Oreochromis niloticus: one gene and its partner. The protein of the gene in region 1 purifies or fractionates together with the protein of each later gene. This does not show direct contact. Links are inferred from orthologs where the notes say so. Each region holds a gene or a part of one and is shown on either strand. Other genes may lie near its edges.

The links.
Region 2: the proteins of npc1 (region 1) and sigmar1 purify together in Homo sapiens (affinity purification with mass spectrometry; 3 studies listed by BioGRID and IntAct, with this or other methods). This does not show direct contact. The link is inferred for Oreochromis niloticus from reciprocal best matches to the Homo sapiens genes NPC1 and SIGMAR1.

What each region holds. Positions count from the first base shown.
Region 1 is NC_031982.2:19,875,605-19,891,446, reverse strand, and holds the start of npc1 (NPC intracellular cholesterol transporter 1), read left to right. Parts: upstream 1-8,649; 5' UTR 8,650-8,742; coding exon 8,743-8,820; intron 8,821-11,294; coding exon 11,295-11,426; intron 11,427-11,568; coding exon 11,569-11,675; intron 11,676-12,013; coding exon 12,014-12,159; intron 12,160-12,357; coding exon 12,358-12,525; intron 12,526-12,646; coding exon 12,647-12,896; intron 12,897-13,843; coding exon 13,844-13,926; intron 13,927-14,030; coding exon 14,031-14,401; intron 14,402-14,884; coding exon 14,885-15,111; intron 15,112-15,438; coding exon 15,439-15,539; intron 15,540-15,842. Other genes in the region: egfra (epidermal growth factor receptor), read left to right, coding at 693-790, 904-1,071, 3,589-3,636, 3,760-3,853, 5,462-5,805. UniProt on the Homo sapiens protein: Intracellular cholesterol transporter which acts in concert with NPC2 and plays an important role in the egress of cholesterol from the endosomal/lysosomal compartment.
Region 2 is NC_031972.2:27,423,619-27,439,285, forward strand, and holds sigmar1 (sigma non-opioid intracellular receptor 1), read right to left. Parts: upstream 7,853-15,667; 5' UTR 7,746-7,852; coding exon 7,601-7,745; intron 7,472-7,600; coding exon 7,420-7,471; intron 7,003-7,419; coding exon 6,854-7,002; intron 6,372-6,853; coding exon 6,279-6,371; intron 5,184-6,278; coding exon 4,954-5,183; 3' UTR 3,475-4,953; downstream 1-3,474. Other genes in the region: katnal2 (katanin p60 ATPase-containing subunit A-like 2), read right to left, coding at 1,008-1,058; galt (galactose-1-phosphate uridylyltransferase), read left to right, coding at 8,293-8,329, 9,401-9,570, 9,871-9,946, 10,135-10,183. UniProt on the Homo sapiens protein: Functions in lipid transport from the endoplasmic reticulum and is involved in a wide array of cellular functions probably through regulation of the biogenesis of lipid microdomains at the plasma membrane.

The DNA of each region.
Region 1 (15,842 bases):
GAACAAACAGTTACACATGACAGTTAACAGCAAATGAATCAGGAAGGAAAAAGTAATAATTAGTTACATCACCATTTGTTTTATTGTTTTTAAGACATAATGCACTTTAGCAAACAGTTGTTTTTTTATGTTATCCCTGTACAGCCTACAGCAGGGGTGGGGAACTCCAGGCCTCAAGGGCCAGTGTCCTGCAGGTTTTAGACGTATCCTTGATCCATCACAGCTGATTTAAATTGCTAAATTACCTCCTCAACATGTCTTGAAATTCCAGAGGCCTGGTAATGAACTAATCATTTGATTCCGGTGTGTTGACCCAGGGTGATATCTTAAACCTGCAGGACACCGGCCCTTTAGGCCTGGAGCTCCCCTACCCATCATATATCTTGCATATCATATTTGATACGCAAGACTCCTACATCATCGATGTGATGTAGCAAATATGATACAAATTAATTTATTTTTTGTTTGTTTTTTTGTCAGAATGTTTAATAAACACTCAAATTTTATGGCAGTTGTTTCATAGTTCAGGCTCTAAAGAGTTTAGTTTTGTCTTTATCATCCGTCTTTCCCAGTTCTGCTTCCTGCTGACCCGCTGTTTTTACAGATTATGTCTGCTAATGTACTCACAAATTTAAAGTTTCATGTCACTGAGTCGACCCACCCTGATGATCTCTGCTGATGCATGTGCGCAGGTTGGATGATTGATGCAGACAGCCGGCCTCGTTTCCGAGAACTCATAGCTGAGTTTACAAAGATGGCTCGGGATCCACCGCGTTATCTTGTCATCCAGGTATAATTTTAAGCCACTTCTTTCTTTAAAATTGCTTAAATATACAGAATATCTGATGATGAGCTGCAGTGATTTGTTACGTACAACAAAAAGGGTAAACTCTTTGATTTTAGGGGGATGACCGCATGCACCTACCGAGTCCTTCAGACACTAAGTTCTACCGCAGCCTGATCAGCGGGGAGGACATGGAGGATGCTGTGGACGCTGATGAATATCTGGTGCCACAGCGTGGCTTCTTCAGCAGCCCGAGTACCTCCCGCACCCCACTGATTCACTCAACAGTAAGCGCCTTTATGGAAATGTAAAATCAAATCTGTCCACGTGGTTTACAGTAATTTAGATTTTAGACAAATCTCATAAATCAAGCAATCATTACACTTTAGAAATAAAAAAAAAGAAATGGCGTGAAGCTTTTCTGCTTTGTCAGGCCAGGCGTGTAAGAGTAAAACTAAAAATCATTAGAAATTATGCAAAACGTTTGAGTCTTGGAGACCGTGCTCCTGCTTAACTAGTGCAGCTCAAGTGAAAGTGAAATCAAAAATGATGTAATTACGAGAGGGGAAATCATCACGACTTGCGTTGGTGTCACACTGAGTACTGACTACTCCTTGTTACACCCACAAGGTGACGCGGTTCACCAGAAACCCACTCTATTGTTCTTGTGAACATCACACAAACTGACTGTGCTGTGTGCGCCTAGTAATCAAACGCCTGAAGTCACAGCTGCTGTGAATCCTAGGAAATAAAGTACTGTGCAAAAGTCTTGAGCAATCCTTCATTTCATCACATTTTCCTTCCAAGGAGCCAGACTGTCTTGTACTTTTGTAAGTGATCTTGAGCAATAGTTCTCCAGACTTTCTGAAAGGTTTAGTAAGTTTTTCATTTGCTGCTCTTTCACTCATTTTTAATCCATTTCTAAGGAATGTTTTTTTGGTTTTTTAAGCCACTTAATACTTAATAATGTGTCATTCAAGCATAAAAAGGCACCTAACTCAGGGGATGAGGCAGTGGTGTCTACACATAACAGACAACTTAGGAAAACTTATTTTAAATTGTGTCTTCAAGCATTTTGTCTACAGCAGATGAACAGTGTCTGAAAAATCCAGGATCTGAGAGATGCATCTGGCTTTTCAGTGTCTACTGCCATTTTTTATGAAGGGAAATAGGAAAAGTGAGTGAGCCTCAGTAAACTCTGGAGGCTCTGTCATGTTTGGGGCTGAATTTCAGGCAGTGGTGTTATGGATCTTGTCAAAATTGATGCAATTATGACTATAGACACAGAAAGAGCCGTTATATACTTACAATATATCCTCTCCTTATATAAATATTTTGCTGTCCCTCTATCAGCACAAGGCTGAAGCCAAATGCTGAACTGCTGACCTGTTTCAGCACGTTCACTTCTAATTTTAAAAGATTTTTACACAAATACGGGATCCACATGCAAAATATTGCCACTGTATTTTGTGCTGTGAGCTGTAAGGCTCCTAATGAGCCATGTAATGGTGCATTTACCACAGACACACACCCACACCAGATTCACTCACACTGACCTTCTTGGTTCACACAGCTTTAGCTGTGAACACTTTACCAACAGGCAGTCAACTGTTTGAAAATGTAATTGTGCTGCGTTAACTGTGTTTTGGGGAAATGAGATTTCGGCATAAATCATTACCCTGTGAGTCTGGATGGAAATAAACACAGTCATTTTTTTCTTTTACTGTGTTGAAAACAATTGCTCCTGCCTTCAGTCAGGAGAAACAGAGTTGCAGCTGCTAAACTCAGCCTACCAGAAGTGTTTAGACAGAATTTAACTAATTTTACTGACTTGAAGTGGGAAAAGGTTGTTTTTGACCCCAGCGGCCCTGCTTCTGTTTACCTGGCCTGTCGTGACTACCACCCACTCGCCCTCCTTAATCAGCGCCTCTCCCACGTTTCCTCCCAGTTGTCCTGTGATTGATGAAGGTGGAATAAGGAGAACTCTTTTACTGCAGGTTCAGTGAAGGCCATGCGTAGGTCTGGCTCTTTTACCTGGGATTATTGCCGGCCACTGACAGCCTGGTTAGTCCATATGAGGTTTCAGGTTTGATTACCTTTACAGGCGCCTTTTTTTTTTCCTTTGTTGTTTTTTATTTCTGTCCAATAAAACTTCAGAATAGGTCTGTTTTTGTAATATTACTGTTGGGACATGGCCCAGTAAGGCCTTCTTTCGTTTTTTTTCCCACATGGTCAGTGCTTCAGCGTATTTAATTTCCTTTTCTTGTTGAAAGTAATTGCATTGCCACAGCTGTCACCCTGTTTTCCCTGTTTTCCCATTTTTCATGGTTTTATGCCGCTCACAGCCCTTTGACTTAGACACAGCAAAGCTTGTCAGATTGTCTGAATGCATATGAATCTGCATGGCGAACGTTTATTTTGATCCCTATCAGCTTGTACTAAGAATGGCAACTTCTCGGGGACCATAAAAACACTTTCATGTCACAGTTCAGAGAGAACTTGCCATCCCTGTGTCCAAATGAAACATGCAGTAAAAAAAAATAAGAATAAAATTAAAATAAACCAAACCAAGAGATTAAAAAAATGATTTTCCAGAAACTAAACAAAGCAGGCTGTCTTTGTACGGTGCATTATGCCTGTTTAATAAAATGTTAAACCTTCCTCTTCACTCAGTGGATGCTTTATGGTTTATAGAGGATTATCTAATTATGTTATGGCTTCATAAAACACAATTTCCTGTGTCGCATTTGATGTGGCATCATCATTTGATGATTAACAAAACGTTTGCCGTACCTATTTTTCAGAGCCTCAACAGCAGCATCGGGACGTGCCACAGCAGAACTGGCTTACTGGTGAGAATGCATTAAACCCTTATTATACCTGTAAAGAAAAGGATTTTTCTCTTTGTGCTGGCCTCTTTGCAATATTTTCACAGGGAGTGTCACAACCCTGAAAACCTCCACTCTTTGTTACAGAACGGATTTCCGAGCAGAGATGGAAGCATGGCCCTGCGATATATTCCAGACCCCACAGACAAATTTCTCGATGAGGCCTTCCAGCCCGCTCCAGGTTAGTCACCTTCGACTTAATGCCATTACTTTTTAATTTAGTTCAAGAGAAATCTCAGCATGGCTTGCCTCTGCGTCCTTTGTGTGATTAAGTGAGGAACGGGGACATCTAGTGGCCAACAAGTGTACTGCTCCCCTCTTCTTGTAATGCTGTTAGCAGAACATGCAGTAACCCATCTATTGTTTACTAGTTACATTAGCGTTACCACTCAGATCTTTAGCCTAAGAACCTCTAGTGGGGGACTTAAAATGAGAAATGCTTAGCAATCAGGCATTAGAATTTATGAGCAACTATTATTACCATCTGCACCGTGATTTGACCGCTTCTTTTTGTCAGACGTTGTAAGGCTTTTTCATATGTGTCTTTAATGCTAATCAACCTTGACGTGCCACACCTCTTCATGTCCCCTTGTCTTTTTGGCTACTTGTGACTTTCATTATCCTTCAGCCTGTAAAACCATCTAGCATATAATGACGCAATAAGAGTGTAAAATACTCAAAGAGATGCAGTAAAATAATCAAATTTAAGAAAACACCTGAAAATATGAAAGCAAATCGGATTATCCAAACCAGTTTCTTTGGAGATGAGAGGGAGGCAGGTGAAGCAGGGATGATGTGAGAAGAAGAGTAGCGAAGGGGGCTGAAATACCTGGGGTCGACCATCCACAGATCAGACAGTGCACAAGAGAGTACTGGCAGGGTGGAGTGGGTGGAGACAAGTGTCAGGGGTGATTTGTGAGATAAGGATAGAAGTGTGAAAGAGAAGGTTTACAGGATGGTGGTGAGACCTGCTATGATGTATGGTCTTAAGACGGTGGCACTGACAAAAAAAAGGGAGGTGGTGCTGGAGGTGGCAGAGTTGATGCAGAGTTTTCATCAGGAGTGAAAAGAATGGACAGGATTAGAAACGAGTGCATCAGGGGGACGGCTCAGGGTTGGAGACAAAGCTAGAGAGGCAGGGCTGAGATGGTTTGGACATGTGCAGAGGAGGGATAGTGGATATACTGGACAAAGGATGTGAGCGATGGAGCTGCCATGGATGTAATGAGAGAGGGTTAGTGATGATGAGGATGATAGGAACAAGGTGAGATCGAGGCAGAAGAAGAAAAACAAGAAAAAGAAGACTTTCGTTGTTGGATAGAATGGGTCTTATTAAAGCCTTTCTGCATAGATTTGTAGATTTGTACCATTTCATCTTCAGAATCAGAATACTTTATTAATCCCTAAGAAAATTATGTGGTTATAGTGGCTCCAAGATAATAAGGACAGTAACAGACTGAACTAAATTAAATAATACAATAAAGTTACAAAATATAAGAAATGGCTCTAATATATGCAAATAACTCAACGTCAAGATTACAGCATTATTTGGGAGCTTTGGGAAAAGATCTGCACTGATGGTTTCAGCTCATGGCGCATCAAACCGGGGGTCTCTACTGCATGTCATGACTCATCTTTTAGCCTTCACTCATGCCATGTTTAAATAGTCAGTTGGTCTAAATAAATAAATACCCTAAAGCATGCGGCTCTCCTGTTATGATCATTACTTTTTTCCTATGGAAAGAGAAATTGTCTGGTGCCCTCGTTAATGTAAATGTCTTTCTTGCAGGCTACATAAACCAGACTCCCATCTCAGATGTGGTGAATCCTATCTACCAGCATCCCGGTCCACCTCGCACCCTTCTTCCCACCATCTCCTCGGACCATACGGAGACAGAGTACCTGAACTACTTTAAGAACGGGGCCGCCGGACCAGAATATCTCAATGAGATTCTGTCCCCGGCCGTCCTCCCGCTCACGTCAAACGGCACGGTCCACAGCATTGAGAAATACCTGCCTCAGCAAAGCATAGACAACCCCGACTACCAACAGGATTTCACTCCCACCTTCAAGACCCACACCAATGGACACATACCGGCAGCGGAGAATGCAGAGTACCTGGGCCCGGACTGACTTGGTGGAATGTGACAAGAAATAAGAGACTACTTTCTGTTCCTTTAATGAAAGGCGTTATCTTCAGTATCTTGGCTGGATTGCTGAGTGGTACCACCCTACTCTGTCCTATCGTATGGAGTCAGCTGACAGTTTGAGCAGCATTGTTGGCATGCCTTCAAGTTAAACCAGTCTCATTCCAAAGACTTTTTTTTTTCACACCACCTCCAAACTACCAATGAGAATGACAAAAGTTGTTTCGCATGTCTCAGCTGACCTTAAGAGAACAGATAGACTCCACCTTTGTGACGTACCTCCTGACAGGAAGGGAAACTCTCTTCTGAAAATGTGAGAAGTAGAAATGTGTAGATACTATGCACAAAAGATTTTGTGATCCAAATGTGTTGGTGGAGGAATGCTATTAAAAGCGTGTAAACACCTCCGGTAACATTTCAAGAACGCCGAAGCGGGCAGGTCAACCCAAAAACACAACTTGAGGTACATACGTTGTAGACTCGCTAGTTATAGGCCATGTCTCTGTGGTGAAGTCAAAAAGATTAAAGGGAGTTTCTTTTAAAGATTCCCCTGAATTCCTTTGGCACCCCTCCTGGAGGATGAGTCAGATACCTTGGAATGTAGGGGATGTACAGTCGGCATAAAGGGGAATTCTGGTGAATTGTCATTTTAATGTGTGATCTTTATGTTCTAAATTAATTCTGTATGTATTAAAAAAGACTGTTGCATCACCTGGCATACAACAAGAGAGCTGAGCTTCTTGTTTTTCCCTGTCATAACTATGTGGAGATTGTGATGGTAAATACAGCAAATGTTCCCATTCGTCCTGCTGTGTTTTGTAGCTCAGAATCGGCAGCGTTCTTGTAACATGAAGCATATTTGTGGAGACCCACAAAGCGAGATAGTCTGAGGTTTTTTATCAGTGTGTCATACTAAAGTCTGAGTATTAAGGAAGTCATTTGTAGCCCTCATGACTGAGTACTTTTCAGCAAGAGCTGTTTTTTTTGTTTTTTTTTGACAAGCAAAAACGGCGTCATAGATAGACAAGTTGGGGAAAAAACTCAGCAGCACCAGTTGTGATCTAGATATATAGTACTTTTGTCTTGTTTGTACCATGTTTAAAATGCTGGTTGACCTGTCTTAGGCCGTTTGAGTAAATTGTTTGAACTGTAGCAGTAGTTGCACTTCCCTGGGACATATTTTAGAAATGAATGTTTCTGACGCCCGTGGTCTGTTATTATCACCAGAACCCCTTTGGCTGGTTCCTTGTTGTTTCGCACAAAGTGTTGACAATGCATCTATGAATCTGTTCCTAGCTTTAAAGCCTTTTTTAGTCCTGCAGCAGCATTAAACCTCGCAAATATCTATTCCTAGTTTTAAGGGAATATAGTTTTGTAGCAGCCTGTAAACCTACCTTTGCAGATTTTACACAGGTACATGTACAGGTAACAGTGTGTATGCTGTAATATAACCCGGCATAGTCGCCTATAATTTATACTCAGTACACAGTTTTGTCATATCATATGTGAATATGCACTTATTCCTGAATTGTGATTATTTCATTCAAAAGTGTAAATGAGTAAATCTTATTTTCTATGGACATGTCTCCTGTTTGTTGTTATTTCAGCACAGCCTGAATGCTTTCCTGTTTCTGTTTTAGTGAAACAACGATGCATTAAGGTGTTCCACTCACAGCTTTAAAGAGATCTGGACGTCAAGATATGCTCTTGATTGAATTTTAGCTGTGTGCATAGACTAAAACATTCAATTTATTCGGCAGACCAAATGACAGGTTTATATGTCGCTTATGCACTTTTTTCTGTCCTAGCAGACGACTTTTGGTGGACCTCAAAAACTAGGAATGTGAAGGGAAACAGAGTCATTACAAAAAACACAAAAGGTTTCTTGCAGTACCAGGACATGAGATAAGGTAATGGCTGCTGGGTTGTGGGCAGAAAAACTTGAAATTAAAATGTCGGCCTGCAGGAAAGAATTATTTAAATTAGATTTGTGACTGCAGAGAGCCAGTAACATCACAGCAGGATCAAAGGTAAATTAAATCGTTTGGCTTCAGGAGAAATGCGGAAATGTCCTCTGCTTTCTTGAAGTTTCTGTCCTGTCTTTGGACATTTCCAGAATGTATAATTATAACAGTAAAGCTGTTCAGGTGACACATGAGCCAGAACTCTGCCCTGTTTTGGTAAAATATTCAAACTTGTGTGTTTCAAAGGAATGCTGAAAACACATGTGGTTTGTGGTATCAGAATATACTAGAAATGCTCACTTCCTGGTTGGCAGTGTTTAAAAATAGTTGGGAAAAGGAAGGCCAAGGAATGCCACATCAACCCCGGGACAAATCTTGGAACAAACAAACTCTTGGCACACATATTCACATAAAGTACAGTCACTTTTTTAATGGTTGTATTTATGACATAGGTCAGGGTAGGGCTGTGAGTGGTAAACTGATACGGATGATTGACTACTGTATGATATGTTCCATAGATGTAAAAAAAAAAATGTTATATTATATTATATGGTATTTATGGTTTCCCCTTATAAGCTAAGGTTAAATAATTTAAATAAGGTAAATTTCTCTATTGTCTTAAAACAAGGTAAATATTTTATGGTGTAAGCTGTAGCAAGCAGATGTCTATCACTGCAACCCAAATTTATCTGACTCAAGCACACTCTAATCCCTAGTTTAATCATGTGAATTCACGTGAAGACAATAAAAAAAAAGGTAATGGGGATTATTAAATTAAATGGGGAAGTTCCTTTTCGTGGTGCAGTGGGCCGTCTTCGTCGCTAGGGGGCAGCGCTCGGATAAATATTTATCTCCGCCCCAAATAAATAGTGGGAGGAAGAAGACGAAGAAGACGGTTGTGAGGATATGTCAAAGTTTACCTGAGCGTTCAGTTCAATTTGATCGTTTCAGGCACCGAGATGGGGCTCATGGCAGGGAGAAGCTTCTTAAGTCTGCTCTTCCTCGTTATATTCCTGGCCGAGGGTTATTTTAGATCGGTAAGTTTGATTTAACGTCACTGCTCTCGTGACTGTTTAATGACTCAGCTCAGGCGTAGCTAGTGTTTGTTTATCAGTTGTCGAGGGAAACTCAGGTTTAGGCTGAGTCGAGCTATTAAAAGTGCTCACCCTATTTTGTATATATTGAAGACAGCATTAGCCGATAATTGGCTTAATGTCGGTTTGAGCATATAGCTGGGGTTGATACTGCTGCTTTGTGGCGGAGTAACATGAGACTGGCGGTGCGTGTACAGGTTCTAGGTCCTAGGTTCAGCGAATGTCGAAACCAGATTCGTGTGCTGACTAATGTCTCCCGAAGTGTCATCATAGCTATGATAAATGTCGCTAAAATCTCAAGCCTGTCAACGGTGATCAAAACCTGCGAGTTAAAAGCTAGGTAGTAGGAAAGAATAGCTGTGGTGAAAAATTCACTTTCTATTTGGATGTATCAGGTATTTGAACTACACGTAATGTAGCTGATGTAGTAACCGCGGAGCTGGTTAAAAGAAAATGGTGCAAAGAGAGAATACAGAAGCTCATGAGACTTGAAACTGCTGGGGTTAATTTTGAGATTAACATCAATTCACATAAAAAAAAAAGCACAGTTTTGTGTGCCAGCTTCAACTTCAGCATGTATTGATAAACTTTTAAATTACTACATCTCCTTAAGAAATACCCATAAAATTATTTAAGATCAGTTTAAGAGATTTTTGATCAAAGCAGACAAAAAAAATCTTGTCTGTGATTTAATCAATGTAGATAATGCTCAGCCTCCCAGCTCCTATCACTGCATTGTTTGCTCTCCTCCTCGTGATGTAATTGGGTCAGTCCACTGTCTGCACTTTTTTTGAAATTCTGCTAAAACACCAGAATGATTAATCATTACCTCTTTAGGATAAGATATCCGGACAGAAGCAGCAGGAATGTCAAAATCAGTAAAAGAGTATTGATTTGTGGCTGCTGTGGATGAAGCTGAAAGTATTTTAGCAAAGCCTCTGAGTGTGCATGGCTCCTGAGTTGAGGTGAATTTCTCTGAATATTCCCAGTCGGAGTTTTGCTTTTTACCCTGAATTAACAAGACTTAATTTCGATAGATGCAGAGTTTGGTCACTAGCCCTGGCTGCACTTTCAATTTTTTAGTGATATTCTAATGCCAAGTGTCATCTTTGCACCACAAGACACGAGTAGGACAAAGTGTGACAGGCTTTCCCATAAAAGTTTGTGGAGTAAGTGAATCAACTTCCCTAAGTTACTCATCGGAACGAAAAAAGCATGTGAGAGCGCACTGATGCTGAATAAACAGAAAAAAAATGTTTAGTTTTAAATCTTTATGTAAGAGTATCTCTCCATGGTTGACTGATTGGAAAACAAAAACTGAGAAATGTGTCTGTCTGCTTTTCAAAGGGTATTCTTTAAAATACCAGATGAAAAGGAAACATGTTTGCAGAAGTGAGGGGACTATTTTCAGACATGCAAAGCACAAGATACTAGAAACACAGGAAATGAGACGGGTCTGATATTTAACTCTGTTAAATGTCGTCTGCATCCAAATTTGTTAAATCCCCTTAAGCAGTTTCAATCAAAGTCACACAGTCTGTTGGAGGAAAAGTTGGCGGAGAGGAGTGAAACCAAGGGAACCTCCCTCTATTCACTTCAGTTCTTCACCCTCTTGGAGGGATGACAGGAGAGGAACGGAGAGAGAGAAATGTGGCCACTCTTTGCGTTTGTGCAAGGGAAGTGAGAATCTGCAGTGACGTACCGATGAACTCTTATTACTCTCAAACACAAATACAAGAATACATAAATGTGACTCTGTTAAGGTGTGGTCTCTTTTCACACATATTTGAACGCTCGTAAGGGCCACCCACTTCTGCTGTGGCTCAGGAGGTAGATCAATTCCCCAGTTAGCCCCAGCCTGGGCACAATGCTGAACCCAAGTTTAAGTTAGTGTGTGTGAATATTAGACATTATAGAAAAAAGAGATTGAGAGTGAGTGAGACGCATCATAAAAAAATCACTGTGTAAGTGCTAGCATTTCTAACTGCTGGCACTGTTTTAAGTCTCATTCCAACATCCTGAGCTGATATTTAATCTTGAAAACTTTTCGCAATTACATTTAATCACACTTTTTTTCTTTTCATAAATCTCTGCAGCCCTCACAGCAGACTCACTCTGAAAGTCTTTGAGACGGAAATGTATCTAAAGGAAGTCAGGTCATCGGTCTACAAAGTCATATGGTCTGCTGCAGCCTTTAGAGAAACTAAATGTGTCTGGGCTTTCTCTTTGCCCTCTTGGTTTTGACCATATCCTCACTTGGTGAAAATTGAAGCTGAGTCACATGAGTTAAAAAAAAAACCCAAAAAAAACCAAACATGTTGTTTACTGGACTGTGCAGCTGAAACGACCATAAACTTGCACTGCTGCTTTCTCTACAATCACTAAATAAATGACCTCTGATTTTCTTGTTTTACAAGTATCATGTTGTGGCCCATCACTGTGTGTGGTACGGTGAGTGCGGTGAGTCGACGGTGGCTGGAAAAAAGTACAACTGCAACTACACTGGTCCACCTATGCCACTACAACCTGATGGTTATCAGCTTCTCACCGTACGTACAGCCCTTCAATGTTTTGTTTTGTTTTGTTTTCTCTTATTGCTCAAATTGTTGACACCTAAAGCATCCCACAGGTTTCCTCTTACAGAAATACTCTTATAAAGTGTCATCATTCTCTTTGTGTTTGTATATGAAGGAGCTCTGTCCTGGGTACGACTATGGAAACAAAAGTCTCTGCTGCAACGCTGACCAGTTGCGAACCCTCAAAGGCAGTCTCCAGCTGCCACTTCAGTTCCTGTCTCGGTATGCAGAGATGTTATATAATAAACTGCCAGAACACATGATCTGCTTGGCATCGTTGTTCCCTTTTTCTTTTTGAAATTTCTGATGATAAACTCTGCAGTGGCACACACAGCATACTGACAGTCTTACATGTTGCAAGTGTCAACGTTGCATTTTCCAGTTAATTGGTTTAGATGTGGACTTGCTCAAAGGCCAAAGGAATTTCATTTTATGTCAGCACACTTTTGTTTTCTCCAAGAAACTTTTACAGACTTGTACACTTGAACTTGTTTTATTATTTTGAGTTATAGCAGCAAATCTGTTTCCTTGTTTCTGTCTGACTGTGCGTCTGCCTGCAGGTGCCCGGCGTGTTTCTACAATCTCATGAACCTCTTCTGTGAGCTGACATGCAGTCCCCACCAGAGTCAGTTTATGAATGTCACCAATATTACTGGCGTAGACGTAAGGGCAGTGGAATACTATATTGGACAAACATTTTCTAACGGTGAGTTTTTAGCCAGAATTCCCAGTATTGTAACAGTAGGGAGCTTTATCAGTTCTATATAAAGTCTTGTGTAATTGTTTAATTTTTGGTGACTGATAATTATAACATTTTAAATTTGGAGTTGACTTAATTATTTATATGCCACCTTTTTGGGTTTTTTGCCTTGTTTTTAAAATTCTGTCATTTGACTTCTGCCAGCCATGTACAACGCATGCAAGGATGTCCAGGCACCATCTAGCAATGTGAAGGCCTTATCTCTTCTGTGTGGCAAGACCGCAAAAGAATGCAATGCTACCAACTGGATCCAGTACATGTTCAGTACCAAGAATGGACAGGCCCCTTTTCCCATCGAGCCAGTATTCACAGGTCAGTATTTTTTAAGTACTTTTTTTTAAAATTTGTTTTTAAAGCAGTAGTTTTCTGAGCTTGAGTATTTTTAAGTGTCTGGTCCCTCTTTGTCCTGTGATGTGCAATGTCTTTACTCTAGATGTCCCGTTGGCTGGTTACACTCCCATGAACAACAATACATACGCCTGTAACGAAAGCCTGGACGATGGTTCAGGCCCGTGCTCCTGTCAGGACTGCACCAAGTCCTGCGGCCCGAAACCCGTACCTCCACCGCTCCCGCCTCCATGGACCATCCTTGGTATCGATGCCATGGCCGTCATCATGTGGCTCTCCTACATGGCCTTCCTGCTCATTTTTTTTGGAGTTCTTCTGGGAGTTTGGTGTTACAGGTAATGGACTTTTTTAGCTTCTAACACACACTGTATAGTTGGATGTGGAGAGATTTGTATGATGACACACTTCGAGGTTAAGCAGGGTTTTTCTGGTACTAGATAGGCCTTGAGGGTTGACTGCACACGCATGATGGGTAAAGGCGATGACTGTGTGAAGAGGTTTGTGATGCTTTGCCAGCTGATTTCAGTTGTCAGTTTTGTTTTGTTTTGTTTTTTTCTGCTTGTGGTTTGGTTTTCATCTGGGAAAATGCATCGTCACTCATGCTGATTTGGGGTTTGTCTGTCTAAAGAGTTGACGTGATTCTTTTAAATTATCAGTACTGTTCAAAGGATCTTGCAACCATCTACCACTTTTGCCTTGTGTTGGAACTCGAGCCTTTTCATGTTGCCAAGTTTTGTGATTCATTTTTTTTATTTTTCCCACAAGTTTACCAGACCGTTCAGCCCACTCCTGATATTCTCTCTCATATTTATTTATTTATTTTCATATTCATTCACCCACCCACCCAGACATTCATATGAAAAGAGCAGGAACCTCTGTTGTTTTTACAGCATAGGAATTCTCTGGTTTACTTGCCCTGCGAATTCATTTTGTCGGAACTTCCAAATGCAAATGCCACTCTCTGAAGTTCAGCAGGTAAAAGGTCATAAACTAATTGTTCAAGCAAATTTAAAAAGAAAAAGAGGGGGGAGGGGGGCTTGCACCAAACCCATGATCTCCTCGGGAAAAAGGGTTGGAATATCCTTAAATTAATGCATTTAATAAGTCTGTGCTTTACATTGAAATTGTAACTGCAACTTATAATTCGCTGAATAGTTAAAATAACAAATCTTTCTGACTGTATACTTTTGGGTCCTGTGTCAAACAGTACATACTGTAGCTGAATATATTTCAGAGTGGAAAACAGATTTGGATGATATCGTATGTTTGTCCTTCTTTGCAGGAAAAGAGCTATCACATCTGAGTATGGCCCCATTTTGGACAGTAATAACCCACTGTCGCTTAACGGTGATGATCCTGATCAAGGTACAGCCATGAAATGTCATTGAGACTGCATTATTTCTCTAAATGTGTCTTGATGTAATTACCACACAGCCCAAACTAAGTTCTAGGTATTTCCTACCTTTCAGTAAATGCATCATGCTGTGAAACGCTGGGTGAGCGTTTTGAGAATGGCCTGCGGATGCTCTTCAGCTCCTGGGGTTCCTTCTGCGTGAGGCATCCATTTCTCATTCTCTTCTGCTGCCTGGTACTGGTGGGAGCCTCAGCTGGGGGCCTGGCCTACATGCACATCACCACTGACCCTGTTGAGCTCTGGTCATCTCCCAAGAGCCAAGCTCGTCAAGAGAAGGATTACTTTGACAAACACTTTGGACCTTTCTTTAGAACTGTGCAGCTCATCATAACTACTCCACTCATGCTCAATGAGACCTACGATCCGTATTTAGGAGGACCATCTATCCCATTCGGTTCGGTTCTGAACAAAGAGCTCCTGCATCAGGTGAGTTGAAGTCAGACTGGTTTATTTCGGAAGCCTGTTCAGTCTACTTTGACTATTTTTGACACATAAACTACATAGAAGTTTAAACAAAAGGTATTAACGAACCATCCAGATATTTCAATGAGGTTAAATATGATTTAATGCTCTCCCAATGTACACAAGTCACTTTCTTATCATCAAGAAATAAATAAATACAGCACCATGGTGTCTCTGTTTTGAGCGTATCCTTGGCTAACATATTCCACATTAATGGCACAGGCGGAAGATCCAGACTCATGCAGGTTTTCAACCAGAGACTGTTGTGCTGTTGAGCAACATTGCTAACCACCGAGTCACAATGCTGTCAGTGTGTAAATTCTGTAACAACGTCACTGTTTCCTTTGTTAGATAAAATAGAAGCTTTGCATGTGAAAAGCAAGCAAATTTTTCAGACGGTGGTTAAAAGGTTCTCCTTTCTTTTTCCATTTTCTTTCAACTTACCAGGTCCTGGATCTGCAGCTTGAAATTGAAGGCCTCGTAGCCTCATATAATCAAGAATCCGTTACCCTGAAGGACATCTGCTTGGCTCCTCTGGCCCCGTACAATGACAACTGTACAATCCTTAGTGTCCTAAACTACTTCCAGAACAGCCACGCTGCACTGGATCACTATATGGGAGATGAATTTTATATCTGGGCTGACTATCATGACCACTTCCTCTACTGTGTCAGGTAAAAGTATTTGTATCTGTTTTATTGATAGATTTAGCCTTTACTTCTCTTATCAGCTTGTTTTAATTGCTGTCACATTTGTGTCAAATGTCTAAGAAATGTTTTTAAAAGTTTAAAAAAGCAAACAAACAGTTGAAAAATGATGCCTGCAGTTAACAAGAATCTCCTTTGTGCAGCTGAGGTCACTGAAAAAAGTGTCTTCTTAAAATAGTACACTCAACTTCCTCATTCGCTGTCATGTGCAATCGATGTTTATCTGATGCAGATTTCTGCAATCCCTTACTGACGGTTGTCTTTAACCTAATTGTTTACTTTTTGCTTGTGCAGTGCCCCAGCTTCCCTCAACGACACCACTATGCTACATGACCCTTGTTTAGGCACCTTTGGTGGCCCTGTCTTCCCTTGGCTTGCACTGGGGGGATACGATGGTGAGTTGTGAAGTATATTCACATGACTTCGGTTTGACACTAGACAACCCTTTTTTTTTTTTTCTTCCCCCCCCCCCTTTTTTTTTTTTCTTTTCTTTTTTTTAAATTAATTTGGTGAGTTGGGAGCATTTACAACTTCAATCAGAAAATGGGGGTTGTACTGACACAGCTTTGTATGTTAAAAGTTGTTTGAACGCCATCCTGGCAGTTAAACTCTTGCATTGGGGGGAAAAAAAACTTGCATATTCACCAATTCTGAATTTTCTTTTAATGAAATTATACATTTAACTTGTATGCAACACG
Region 2 (15,667 bases), on another chromosome or scaffold:
CCTATCTTATGATCAAGTTTAGAGTCACTGATTAACCTAATGCCCATGTGTTTGAATTGTGGGAGGAAGCCAGAGTAGCTGAAGAGAACCCACACAGACACGAGGAGAACATCCAAACTCCACACAGAGACACTCCAGCTGGCCTGTGGATAGACCTCTTTGGAAGGCAAAACTCTTTACCACTGTGCTACCCACGGGCTTGAACTGTATGCCTAATTTCAGTAAAGATGGAAGTCTCAAGAGCTTGAAAAAAAGAAGGCAACTGTACTTCTTTAAGCTTGTGAAAATTCCCACTATTGGCTAAATACCTTGCACCCTCCACCTGTGTTTTTAGAACTTAAGAAACCTCTTGGGTGAAAGATGAAACATCATCAAACTTAAAGAAGTCCAGCTGCTTTCTTTTTACAAGTTCTTAAAGACTGCCATGACCCGGATGACTAAGAACCTGCACAGACAATAAAGATGGAAATGACACTCCCTAAAGTATTTATTTATGTCTGTGGTCTAACTAAATGTAGCCACTAATTATCAGCTAACGAGTTAGCCTGTGCTCGTTAATGCTTCAGTTCTCTTCTCTTCCCTGGTTCAAACATGTGGAGGAGGAATATTTTATATAGGACTGGAAATACAGGGAAAACACAGTTGCCAGCAGAGGGGGCCAGCCCACCACAAACAACAACCAGTTGACGGTGTCTCTAGGCAACCAGTGGACGCAGCCGCTTTATTGTGGCACGAATGCATGTAGAACTTGGCATAACGATTAGCTCGACGGCTAACGACAATGCTCGTGAAACCGACAATATAGAAATCCCGTTACATGTGTAAAATAAATCGACCAACACCTGGATACATATGCCTTTAGCTTAACACTGCTTGCAGTACCAGACAGTTCAGTGCCCATCTGTTCACTGTCACTGCTAGTTAGATAGCCACAAGTTCATATCTGAAAACAGTTGTGCGTCAAATTTGCGTAAAACAACAAGAAACAAAAGCCCGTGTTCACTCACCGCCTCTCGGGCCTGGTGGGCGATTTTCATTGACTGATAATTGAGCTCCATTACTGTTGTAAAAAATTCGTAAGGTCGATATTATTCGTTAAGTGATGCTGAAGTTGGTCCACCGTGTAGTTCTGTCGGGTCTTACGTTCCCCTCGGGGCTACCGTACTTAGCAGTATGCCTCTTCTGTGAAGCAGCAACGGTGGTAAAGAAAAGCATCATCTATGCTTGCTTTTAGATTTAGAAAAATCTCAATGACAAAATATTTGATTGACTTAAAGTTTTGCAAAAATGAGACGTTAAAAGCTCTTTAATATGGAGGACCACAAGAGCCTCCATAATATTGTACTTTTGTACTCAATCACAAATATTTTCCAAGTTTGACATGTAGCCTGCTACCTTTAACTCTGATGTTATTATCATTTGAAAGCCTCGTGTAGAGCTCACATTTTATTTCTTTTCAGGTTGAAACTGATCAATTGATGTATGTGATCCTGATTATCTCCACTAGAGAGCAGAAGAGATCTATATAACATGCAAATCACAGCGGCACTATCAAAGGACACCCTTTTAAGCTACTTTAATTTATCAGAATGTGTGTGAGTGTTTTGTAAATGTGAATATGGGTGATGAATAGATCTGTTTTTGCTGTCTGGTTTTTGAGGGCATGTTTGTGTCCATCCTTAGTAACTATTGTGCTGTAACTCTTTGTGTGCATGTGTGTCTCCAGGGGCAGACATACACACAGAGACATCTATTTGCACAACTCCAGCAACCAGTGGGAGGACATAAACACCCTGGAATAAGCCAAACAATTAGTCAAAGAGAGCGTTGTCTATCCCATTAGGTGCAGCTCCTGCTCAATCACGCTGGTATTTCAGCACTGGTTGCCCAGCTTCGATTCTGAATATATCTCCCCCAAAGAGCTTAAAGAGCAAAACGGTAATGAGGTCAAGCCAGTCTGTTAGGCTGACATTAAACCTATATTTAAGATAACATGGTAACACACACACAATGGACTAGCAGGAATAAGGGAATATATGCATTTGTTGAAAACTTTAATAGGTACACCTGTTCAGTTGATTGGTAGTGCAATTATCTAATCAGACAATGACATGTCAGCAGCTCATGGCATCTAGGCATGTCGATGCCATCAAGATGACATGTCAAGGTCATGTGCAGATGGTAGTCAGAATTTGCAATAAACAACATGAAAGGGTGCCGGTGGTGTAAAGTTGTGTGGGATATTTTCTTGGCACAATTTGGACACTTCAGTACCAACTAAGTGTTGTTGATGCCCATGTCCATTCTTTTGTGAGTACAGTGTACCCATCTTCTAATGGCTGCTTCCAACAGGATAGCACACCATGTCACAAAGCAGCTCAGATAAAAAAAATTCTTGAACATAACAATCAGTTCGCTTTACTAAAATGGTTTCTACAGTCACAGGTCTCAATCCAGTAGAGCACCTTTTGGGATATGCTGCGATGGGAGGTTTGTGTCACAGATGTGCACGTAATAAATTTGAAGCAACTGTGTGATGCTCTAATGCCAATATGGACCAAAATCACTGAGGAATACTTCTGAAGGCAAAAGGGGGTCCAACCCAGTACTAGCAAGAAGTACCTAATTGTCTAATGAGTGTATAATATATACAGTATACATAAATAGGTGAACAAGCAACAGCAAGGATATTCTACAGCTTTAAGCAAATGTACAACACAAATGTCTATCACACTTCCACCTCTGTGTATATGAAACACAACCAGGTTGCCTGGGACATTTACAGACAGAGATGAGGACTGATATGTTTGTCTTCTAATCTGATGACCAGATTTATTAAATACCATTTGACCATGCAGTATTTATAATAAAGGATTTGGAGTGTATGATGTCAAGTTTGGGATTTCACTCATCTTCTGTTTAGCATTGGAGCATCATGGCAAAGGCACCTTTTATGGATTCAATACCATTGTAATAGTGTGCAATGAAATATTAAATGTCATTTCACAATTCTATTATGAATAAAGCAGCCAAGATCAAATATTGACAGCTACTGTTTATATGCCAGTCGTCCTCTCGTTGCCTTGATTAAATACACAGTATAGACAGAAATAAGCAAAACGCATTTGTATTAAGTTCAAAGACATTTATTTCTTTTGGCACCGTCAGTTTCATTCTTAACCCCGAGTAAATTGCACATCTGGTACAGTATTACAATTCATCTGAGAATGCACTGCTACTGATGCTGCTTCTAATTAACATCAGTTAGTGTAGTAACAGCACATTTTCACTAGACTAGAAACCCTACATAGCTCTTAGTAAGTTCAGCCATTAGTCTGAAAATAAGGCTGTTTTACATGAAAAGATACAAACTGAGAACACGATCAGCAGCAGTGTAAAACACCACAATTACATTTATCCACAGTGCTACAATAGGATGTAGACATGTAGCCCTCCCAGTGGGCCAGTGCAAAATTCAAGACCAGGAACGGAGGTTGCAGACACTGAAGCCAAGTAGCTTGGTCAGAGTCCAGTATTATTCAAGTTAATTTATAGGCTATTTGAGCTCAGAATGTTTTTGACAAAACAAAAAGTAATCAAGTTTACATAATTAAACCATTCTGTAAAATTAGAAAATGACAGAATTACAGGTAAACCTAGCAGAGGTCTGTAGTATGATACAACCGTGTTTTCCCATTTTCTTACCTTCCATGACTTGCACAAACATTTTAAAGAGTTTCTCCAAATAACATCATTGGGTGTCCTACCACAGTATATACAGTATGTGATGTAAATGTTTTGCTTTATAGTTTGAAAGGATTTAAATTTTCCACCTTAATCTCCACAGTTCTGAGAAAGAAATGTCAAACCCACACACATCTAGTCAAAAAATTTGGTGGTTGCCACAATGCTGCAGCTCTGAAGATGAGCTCATGCAGAGACAGGTTAACAGAAAAATAAAACCACCAAGGTTCACACAGCTGACAAGACGAGAGCTTTCATTAGCATATCCTCCCAGGTTTTTAACAGCTTCAAAAGACACACGGTACACAAAAGGTGAGCTTTGAATTGGTAAATGGTGGCCAATGCCAAGCGAAGCTTTAAAAGCAAAGAACAGAATTTCTCTTTTTTGCATCTTCTCACCAAGAGTAGCTTAGGGAGCCCGAATCCTAATGCAGCTACATTTACAATGGACCTTACCTGCAGAGAATCTGCACAAAGTGGAAATTGGCATCTAATGAGAAAATAGTGACTTTAGCTGTGCATTATATACATTACTGTAGGTTTTACAATCCAGATTAAGCATTGCATATTTGTTTTGAAAGATTTTCCTTGGCCTGCAAAAAAAACACTTTGAATATCAGTATTCATTTGTAAAAATCATTGGTTATGAAGAAGTGAATACAACCAAACCTGGTTGCATATATTGCCTTATTTTTATCAGAAGAATGATAGATTTGGCAAAAGAAGCTTTAAGGCTTTTATCTTTAAATTGGATCCTAATAATACCGATTTTTATTTTTTCCTTTTATTAGTCATTCTGACTCTGGAGGCAGTCTGAGCTCTCAGTGGAATGTTTAATGACCTGATGCTTAGTTTCACTGTTAAAATCGAGGTAAAGTAAGGAAGGCTGCCATTCAGAATGAAGTGTTTGTTTGGGTGATTTGGCTCAGTTTGAAATCTCATGCGAAATGTTAAGACTACAAGGTGAAATGGAGTAAGACATTTTCTTTTGCATAGGCTTTATGAGGGTCAAGAGCGTCAATGAAGATAATCAACTATACCAATGTAAATTTGGATTGTCTACAATTTCATATAAAAATATTAAATGTCAGCACTCTGAATTATCAGCAAGACTCTCCTCTACCAGATTTTAGTGGTTGGGAAGAAAATATCACAGCACAAGTTTTGATGGTAATGTCCATGTGCAATCATCTAGGACTCTATTCTGCCTTAGAAAACTCCAGCTTCTGTAAGTAGTGTACCAGCCTCAAGTAGCAAACCCTTCATGTAGGCATTAAAAGTGTAGTACATTGTGAGGAAGTCCTGGGTGCTGAAAAAGGTGTCTGCTAAAGCAAAGCCCAGCGTGGAAGGGATGAAACCTCTGCCGTATTCCACCATCCAAGTCCCGGCACTCCACTGGACTGACGTAGCCTCTCCTACAGCATGCACAATGGTGTCACCTGTGGGTAAAGAATATGAAAGAACAGGAAAAAAATAATTACTATTACTACTACTACTACTGCCACCCAATAATACTACAGGAGTTTAGCTAATAACATACTGTGCTGTGAAAACTTATTTACCAACATCCTGATTTTTTTTTCTCTTTTGCATATTTGTTACACTTACATGTTTCAGGTAACCAATTTTTAACATTAGACAAAGATAATTCAAGTAAATAAAAATGTCGTTTAAATTATTTTATTTAAAATGGGAAGCTATCCAGAGCTACCTGGCCCGATATGACAAAAATAAATGCCCCCTCTTGTTAAATCATAAGAGGGTAATTAACCAGTTTAATTTCAGTAGTCACACGCAGGCCTGATTTCTGCCAGACCTGATGAATCAAGAAATCACTTAAACAGAATCTGTTTCACAAAGTGAAGTCCTCTAAAAGATCTCAAAAAGCAACATATCATGCCACAATCTAAAGAAATTCAAGAACAGATGAGAAACAAAGTCATTGACATCTATTAGTGTGGAAAGGGTACAAAGCCTTTTCTAAGACTTTGGAACTCCAAAGTACGAGCCATTATCCATGAATGGAGAAAATTTGAAATCTGAATCTTCCCAAGAGTGGGCAGGTTACCAAAATTACCTAAGATGACTCGTGCCTCAATGACTATTCCGGGAGGTCACAAAAGAACCCAGAACAACATTTGGCAAAAACATCTTGATCCTCAAGCTTTTTGGGAAAATATTTTAGTGAAGTTTTGAAGAAGTTTAACATTTTGGAGGGTTTACGTCCCATTACATCTGTTTAAAAAAAAAAAAAATAACATACCATTTCATAAAAAGAACATCATCCTAACAGTCAAACATGGTGGTGGTACTGTGATGGTCTGGGGCTGCTTTAGGAACTGAACAACTTGCCATAATTAAAATCATCATCCCTGCTCTCTATCAACAAATCTTGAAAGAAAATGTCCAGCCGACTTGTGCAAAAACAAAACAAAAAACAAACATTAAAAAAACTATTATAGTTACTGAGATACATTAAAGTTTCCATTGTGTATAAATGCGAAATTGAATATTGTAATGAGTTAATGCATTACCAGGATAGTATATTTCACTCTTGGTTGTCCCCTCTTTCCACTGTCTGAAGGTTCCAGAAATAATGGTATCAGAAATCTCAGCCCAATAACGACCTGAGAAAAACAGCAAGATGCAAAGAGTCAAAATGATACAATTCAGAGTATTTATAGTTTTCTAAACATACAATTCTAATAGTCTTCTGTAAATCATCTCACAAATCAAATATTATTGTTGGGACCAAGAATGGGACAGTTTATCAGCATCTCCTAGATTGCAAGGATCAAGTTGTAGCCCATTGTGCACTATTGTAAGGACATGGACTGGAATGGGGGTGCTTCAGACTGACTTTACTTTAGATCATAAGAGGGGCAATTCATTCCTTGATATCTGACACCATACTGTAAATAACTCCAGCAGATTTCAACTTTGAGATCAGAGTATCCTGCTCTAGAGTAACTTGTTCCCCAAACAAACACTTTCCAAAACCATTATGTCTGCAGATGTTTACTTCAACTTACACAAAAAAATATTTTTTGGAGCTGATCTATCTATGAATCTATCTATGTAGCTCTCTTTAACTGCTCTCCTTCCTCACCTGAGTGTCCTCCAGTGTCCACCGCAGTGCCAAACAGTATCAAGTACTCTGTGAGAGAGGCATGGAGGACACACATGGAGCCCATCCAGCCTCCAGCATTCACAAACACCCACTGCAAGTCCTCATCAGGGAGGATGTGTCCAGGATACCTAGTTCAAATACACTTTGTTAGCCATTTATTTAACATTAAAGAACTATAATCTGATATCTAAAAAATAATCTGAATACCAAGTGAGAGTTTTCAGTACAAATTTACCAGTTTTGAGTTTTAGTAGGAAAATCGGAGGAAAGTACCTCAAGGTCAAAGAAATCATTATGGACAACTTTCACTCTGGCTTTATTTTAGACTACACCAATTTTTGACATAGTATTAAAAAAATGAAAGTGAATAAGACATCCATACCATACCAAGGAAGAATGAAGTGAAATGAGCACATACTGAAGAGATAAGGTGCATCATGCTGCAGCTAGTAAGTAGCTTAAACAACCTAATAGTGGTGGAAATTGTACAGAAGCAACCACAAGCTGCCTGATACATGCAAGCCTGCACGTAACGGTGTCGTTACCTTTTTCTCAGCTCCACCACCACTTTGGAGAAAGCCTGCTCATGGTCCTGTCCTGAGAACAGACACATTTAAAATGCACAGGGCATGCAGATATGGCAGTTCAGGCAACCAAAATTAGCTTCAAATATAAACAAAATGAAGTGTAGGAGCAACTTTTTTTCACATGCAAACCCAAACTCACCTGCATACTGTTTGGCCAATTTGGCGACGTCTTCTTTGTTGAACACATACTGCTTGCTGGCCAACCAATGCCGCAACAACAGCACGGTCAGGACGGTGACTGCGGCGAACACCAGCAGTCTTGAAATGATTTTGAGCAGGGACATGGCTGAAACAAAACGCACAGACACACACAGACAGGTTTGGCTACATGCATACAGGGAGGCAGGCTGGCGTGGTGCTCCGCTCACAGCCTCTTCCTGGTCAGGTGAGGGAGGGATCTTTACGCTTAGCCAATCATGGGCCGACTCAGCAGCGTAGGCAGCGCGCGACTCCAGGGTTGCCAGCACAATGCAAAACCGTCTTTTTCTAGTTTACATTAAAATATCATATTTTTTAAAAAAAACAGTTGACCAAAGCTAAACATTTCAGGCTGCTGTATTGGGTGGCAACAGTCTAATGACCAATTATCCTTAGTTTGACTTTTTCAGTCTTATTTACTTACTTATTTGTTTAGATTTTTAGAAGTGTGCCATTGCATACCGGCATGTGCACAATAGCAACCTTTCGCTTGTCAACAAAACAGGAAGTAGGCCAAGGTTTATTGAGGACCGTGTTGATTTAGCATCATATGCTAAAGTCCAGAGAAAGCTCGTGGTTCAAAAAAAGAACACCGGGGAGGAGACAGCTGTGAAACATCAGTGAGTGACCGACATGAGCGGGAAGCAAGACGTCAGTTTTGACCCAAAAGGTACGCATTTTTTGTGAATTTACAAACGTTATAAAGCTAATTTCAATCACTCACTATATCCAATGACAGGCACTGGATAATGAGTAGGACTTCTTAAATTTGTCAGTTTGCCTTATTGTTTAAGCGTCAAAATGACTTGTGTAATTTCCCGAGTTCTTCATCACTGTTTACCAAAAAGGTACTGCACTGGAAACAGTTAAAGCTCAAATGCATTCAGTCATGCTTCGGGGCTTGTTTACTACTCGAATTCACTGGTAGGTTATAGGAGTTTACACAAAGTCTTTAGTTATGTTGTACCCTGCACTTTTTCCCCTGTCGGCCTGACAGACATGCTGACTCTGCCCGCTGTCTTGTGACTGTAGTTCCTGTAGTTCAAGTTGTAGCTACAAAACCTGCTCCTGAATGCTTTTTGAGGTGTTTCTTATAAGTAATAGTAAATGTTTAAATCGGGGGTGTCAAACTCATTTTACATCGTGGGTAAGATACACCCCATATTGATCTGTCACTGTAAATAAGTTTGATACACAAATGAAACCTTGAGATATTTTAATATAAGAAAAAAGTGCAGTTTCAAAAGGAAATCACAGTTTTTCTACATGGCAAATAACTTGTTCTGTAGTGAATTAAAGAAATTGTAAGAAATAAATGTGTAAAATTACAGAAAAAGTATAAAACACAAAGTTTTTTGTTCTGTTTTGGGGTTTTTTTTTTTACGTAAAATGTCCTTGTTTTGTAGCCATTGTAAAAAACACCCAGACATTTCTATTGAACAAAAAGGAACTTCCTGTTGTTTAATTTTCTATCTGTTACCTAATTCCTTTGGTATAGCATGGCCCACAGGGGAGGTTTTTTATTATTAAAGCTGTGAAACGTATGAAAATAAAGTTAAAAGTCCAAGATTTATGCTTTCCTTCACGCTTTCCAAAGCTGTCCAGTGGGGCCAGATTGGAGTCTTTGCCAGGCCAATTTTTGCCCCCGGGCCTTATGTTTGATGCCTTTGGTTTCAATAATGTGTGTGTGTGTTATTACATTGTCTTGTTACATTTTATCACTTGTCTTGTGTAACTTTAGAGCACCAGCACTTGCGTTACAACCCTCTTAGGGACAGCTGGGTTCTTGTGTCCGCCCACCGCATGAAGAGACCTTGGGCAGGTCAAGTTGAAAGACCACCTGAGGAGCACATACCAAGATATGACCCAAATAACCCACTCTGTCCTGGGAACAAAAGGGCAAATGGAGAGGTGAGAAGAGGCATTGAACAGCATTCTTTGGTTCTGATCACAACAAGTAGTAAATCCACAAACAAGGCATCCATTGGAAAACATATCGATAATGTCATGGATAGTTCATCTATTCTTATCTCCATTTATTATTGATGTTGTGGACATTAACAATCATACATAATGCTAAATTGCACTGTAACATTGCCAGCAGTTCCAAATAAGAGGTTTCTTCACTCCTCGTTCTGCTTGGGTTTTGAAAGCAAAATGTTTTCTGTCTGCTGTTTTCTAATATCTCTCCAACTGTCTGTTTTTCTCCAGGGGAATCCAGATTATGACAGTACCTTTGTGTTTGAGAATGACTTCCCCGCTCTTCAGCCTGACGCTCCAGACCCTGGTGAGTTGTAGTGCAGCCTAAATACTGTAAGGAAAAGGAGAAGTAGCTGCAGTACCTTTTTAATAAAATATTTAAGCAAGTAACTGCAATTCTTTCTTTCTTGCAAACTCGACTTTCGTGTAGCTCTTTAGCTATTTGGTTATAATACTTAAATATGATAAAGTATATATTGTTGTTTTGTTCTTCAGGTTCAGAACAAGATCCATTATTTCAGTCTAAAGCTGCAAGGGGTGTCTGGTAAGAACAAATCTTAATATCTCAATCTATATGTGTATGAAATGCAGTGCTCATAATGAAATGTATAATACATAGTATAAATTAATATGCAGTTGGTGCGTTATAATTTAATCTAGGACACGATGCATCTTAATCAGTGTTCCTTTTCAAAATTATGATGCATTCAAATGTATGACTAATTAAATCTAAGCTGATGACTGCAATCAGAGCAGTCACACTGAGGCAACTCTTAATTCGTTGTTGTCATCATCTTCATCATAATCAGCTATTAGATGACGCTAATTTTGTTCATCAACGCACTGCATGCTTCCTGTTTTCAGGACATCTTGAACTTGAGCAAAACAAAATCACCAAGCCACCGTACATACATTAGAAAGTGATGTTATTTTGTGCAACCAGCAGATGGAGATGTTTTATCAGTACTCTATTTTGTAGCTCCTTGGTGCATGAGTGATATTTTCCTAAATCCATCCACACTGATAAATAACATGTCCTTCTGTAGCTAAAAATGTCTATTCCTGGGTGTATCTGTTTTGTTCTACAAAGGTGAGCTTAAGAAAGTTTTATAACAGGAGTCAGCTCAATAAACACTGGCTGCTGGATTTATACATCTCCCGAGAAGCTTAAAAAAAGACCTAAATCCTTTGTTAGCGCACACTTCTATAATACAATACACAGCATTTTCTATTTCAAAAACTCACAGATTACATTTTTCCCTCTTTGGGTACTTGGCCACACATGATTCTTGCTATGCTATGAATCAAAGATATATAATTGTCAAATTGGTTTAAGGAGCGCTTTCAGGGTAAAATATTAAAAAACTAACCTAAAACTCCAACAGGTTGTGGCATATAGGCCTTTATAAGAGACAAAATGAGTGGTTGAACATTTTTTAAGTGGTGTTTTACTAGTAGCAAACTTCAAGGTGAAAGTGGAAAATTCCACAAGTAAAACTCAACCAATAAGAGTGGACAGATGTAAGAGCCCAGAAATCAACAAAATCACCAAAAATTCACCAAAGTCAATTCAAATCAGACAAAAAAGACCACACAGATAACATAAATGCATCTTCAAAGGCAAATTAAGTCTATAGGAACAAAGTAAAATTTTTCTTAAAAAATAAATTTTACTACTTTGTTATAAACTTTATTTGTCTTCGAAGGTTAAATCTAACCATGCCACGAGAATAAAGGGATTTAAATTTTATATGAATAGAGAGTGCTTTGGCGTTTTTTGATATTTTTGCATAAATAATTTTCAGTCTGAAGGTAACATTCCCGAACAATCCTGTGCTTTGGGAATTCTTGCTTGATTCTGTCTGACAGCAGAGTTGCATAACTACTGAATAATAGATTTAATCAAAAAATATTGTGCTGGTTGAAAACTGAAGACTGTTTTTTTTTTTGTTTTTTTTTTTTTCTTTCTAAATCCCATGTGCTGGCAGATGTAGAGGCCGTCAGGTGTTGCTTGCCACACTCGCAATGTGATGAAGCACAGAAACAGCAGTGACTGACTTAAAAAATATAGTACATTTTAGGGTACTTTACTTCCTCCGTCTCACTTTAGGTGAGAGTGTGTGATTCTTCTTGCAGTGTGAGATTGTATTCATATTTGTTCACACATCCAGCATGATGCTGCTTTCCTTTTAGTGTATCTGTGATCAGTATATGCTTTTGTGGCCATATTAACAGAGTAATAAACTTGAAAAATAAACTAGATCTTTGTACCCTGCAGCAAAGTTCAGTGCCAATTAGAGGGGAGTGCAGAATTGGAAATGTAATTTAGGGGATCTGGGTCATGGAAGACAATAGAAAGTCGTAGTGCAACAAAAGAAATGAGAACGTTTTTAACACTTTATCATAGCACCCCTCTCAGCACTGTGGTGACAAGAAATTGGTCTCACTTTATTTTACAGATCTGACAGTGTCTTGTTTTCCTAGAAAGGAAAACCAAGTATAGCTGCTCAGGATTTTTTCTAAGAAGGACTTTGCAATTTGCTAAAAATTATAGCAATGTCAGTTGACACCTTAGAATAATTATAGTTATTTAATGGTGTCATTTATTGTCAGTACAGGTGTCTTTTTGTCTTAAATTTAACTTCAAGCAAAAGGAAGATTCAAGAGATAATTAGGTGTTTTGGTTTTGTTGCTGTGTCAGATTTAAGGTAACTTAAGCTTATATTTCTTGAAAAAATGTCTCTGGAAATCAACAATTTCCATCTAATTACTCATTTACTTTCAAGCTAGCTTGTGTATACAGTAATATGACAAAAAAAAAAAACAACTCAATTTTGTTTATGCACAGCTCTGTTAAAGTCATGCTACAGCATTTCATTTGGGTTTGTACTTTGACTGGACCATTACAACCACCTTGAGTCTTGTCTTTCATTTGCTAATGTGACCCCTTTTCGCCCAAGCTTCAGATGTCCGACACATGCCCTCAGATTGGACTCTAGATTGCTCTGATATACAGAGGAGTTCAAGGTTAGCTCAGTGGCTATACTGCTATATTTTTTTAAAGAGAAGAGGCTTTCTCATAGCAACCCTTCCTAACAAGCCAGACTTGTTCAGTCTTTTTGTAATTCTGCTGTAATGAACATTTAACATGTAGAGTAGTCTGATAAGTACTAGAGATGGCACAGTACCACTTTTTTTATGTCTGATACCGATATGATAAATTTGGATATCTGCCGATACTGATATAAATCCGATATAGCATATTTTAAAATCAATAAAATGTTTTTTTTTAAATATTTTGCTGCATTTTGTATAAGTTCATACTCAAGTTTAAAAAACAAAACAAAACTAAAGCTATTCTGTTATACCTGTATGCAAAAAATACACTGCACCCAAAATATTTCATAGATCAGCAATACTGATCAATCTAATAAACTTAAGCCTACACCATCCTCCCTATTCTGGTATTTTAAAGAGTACTTAGTGGAAATATTAAGCAACCTAACTAATAGGGTTGCCAACTCCGAGCAAACAAAAAAACCAAAAAAAACCAAACAAACCACCCCCCACCCTCTGCCTCATAATGCTTAATTGACGTAATCAACCTTAATTTAATGCATGTGTAACAAAAAAAAAAAAACTCACAGAAATCAATTATTTTTCCACAATAATTAAATAGATTCAACATCTTTCTTCAATAGAATTGCAGACTGCACAGATGGTATCTTCCCAAAGGAAAAAGTACTATAGCTTAGTAGGTTATAAATTTGAGTTAATAGTTCCTATATACAATAATGGATTTCTATACATTTTACATCAGGTGAAAACTTTGATTGTAAGATTCAGATAATTATTTATTAAAAGCTAGACATGACAATAAGAAAGAAAAGTATTTCTTTGTGCTCCCCCTTTCCCTGTTCATGCCCTATCGACCCCCCTGGCAAAACCTTGCTAGATCCGCCCCTGCACAGTTACCAGCCGTCAGCTACGTAGAAAAGGATCCTGATGTAGAAAGTAATATTAAATAAATTCTAACAACAGCTTATCAAGCTTAAACGTGCTGCTGTTGTTTATCCGCTGGTTTCCTCTTTCTGGCGCAAAGTGGGCGATAAACAAACAAGAGACGGGAGTCGTGACAGAAAAGCCGATCAGCTGATCATTGATCAGTTTCAGAATGATAGGCATTCGCTGGGAATGCTTTACAAACATTCAGAGATGAACTTACACACTTGCTTTACTTCTCTGGGATAACTTTCTCGGAGATTAAATGCCGGTTTGGAAGCACGTAGCGAGGCTCCAAATGCTCAACCAGACCGCCGACAGGTCTCGCACGCCACAGCCACTTTATCAGGAGAGGCATACTCCTCCGACGTGCTAAGGTTATGAGCTGGGTTACGCTATGTCGCAAGTTTTGTGAAGTCCTGTTGTGATATTGAATGGATCGGATTACATTTTTAATTTCTCTCCGATATCCGATCCAGTAATTTAGGTCAGTATCGGACCGATACTGATATGTAACATCGGATCGGTCCATCTCTAATAAGTACCCTTTGGGGGTTTTTTTGCAATTTGTCTCAACATTGCACGGTCTGACCTTAGGGTGAACTTGCTGGAACATCCACTCCTGGGAACATTATTGCATTGTGTTAAACAACACCTGAATGCTTCAGGCCAGCAATCTGCCCAAACATCTGCTTTTATAGAGGTGATTACATTTGCTGAAGATCAATTAATCAAGTGCGTTTTATTAGCAGCACCTGGCTGTTACTCACCCCCTTAATTCCTATAGAAGCAATACGGATGTACTTAATTTTTCACAGGACCTCATGCATTAAAAAGTATTTTTGGCATTTTAAAACAGAGCCCAAAGTAAAGTGTTTTAAAAGAGAAAGCTCACAGCTGCTTGATGTTGTCTTAGCTGCGCTACATGGTTTGGTGAGCTGATCAAACTGGTGCACAGTAAAAACTGCTGTTGTAAAAAAAAAAAAATGTATATAAATAAAATTTATGCTCTTCTCATAGCAAGTGCTGACACCTTCAGTGATCCTCTGACTTTTTGCTTTCTATCAGCATCATTGTGTCAGATGTTTAATTTGTGCTGTTTGTTTACAAAAGTTGGTTAAAATGCCTAAACAACCCCCCACCCGTGACCCTGAAAAGGATAAGCGGAAGAGGATGGATGGATGGTTTTGTATGGCGATCTAAAAGCAACCGTATACCATACCACATTAATGTAAAATTAAACTAGTCTTAACCCCAACTACTATTTTCCTAAACTTAACTATACACTTTAAAGATGTTTTGACCTCAAACTTGAATCATTCAGTTTTAGGGTTAACTGCCCTCATATATCTGTGTAAACACTTTGGTCAAAATATGACTCATGTTGGAAACACCCAGCTCCCATCTCCTCTATTAGCCTTCTCATGAACAATGTATAAACCAGTATTCAGTTTTGCTCAGAGCATAAACACCAAAGTCGTGTTCAATTATTGATCACACACTAGCTGCTTGGGCCCAAGAAGAGCCTGCCTGTTGATAGAAATTTCATTATTCTCACTCTGACAGTCAAGTTGATTTTCCTTGCTACTGTAGATAAGCCTGAAAGCAAACACATGGAGATATGTCTTCTTGAAGTCGTGAAGACGTAGGGATTTGAGTTACCACTACTACATGCACGGACCCATGCGCACACACACACACACACACACACACACACAAAACTAACATCTGTGCAAAGTTGATAAAGCATTGTTAACCAAGCTCATTCTTTTTATTTTTTGCTTTTTTTTCTTAGCTGAATAACCCTTTATTATCGTTAGGAGTCTGACACATTAAATGTAACATATGATGTTATAGTTGTGACAACTATTTTGATTCCTTAAAAAAGGTGTTTTGTTTGGTTGCACAAAGAAAGACTCGCTAAAAATAAGGCAAATAGTTGATAAACAGCTGTCGCAGAATTCATATTTCTATTTGTTTAATTTGCCCCCCCCCCCGTTTTTTTTTTAAAAACTATAGTTTAAAT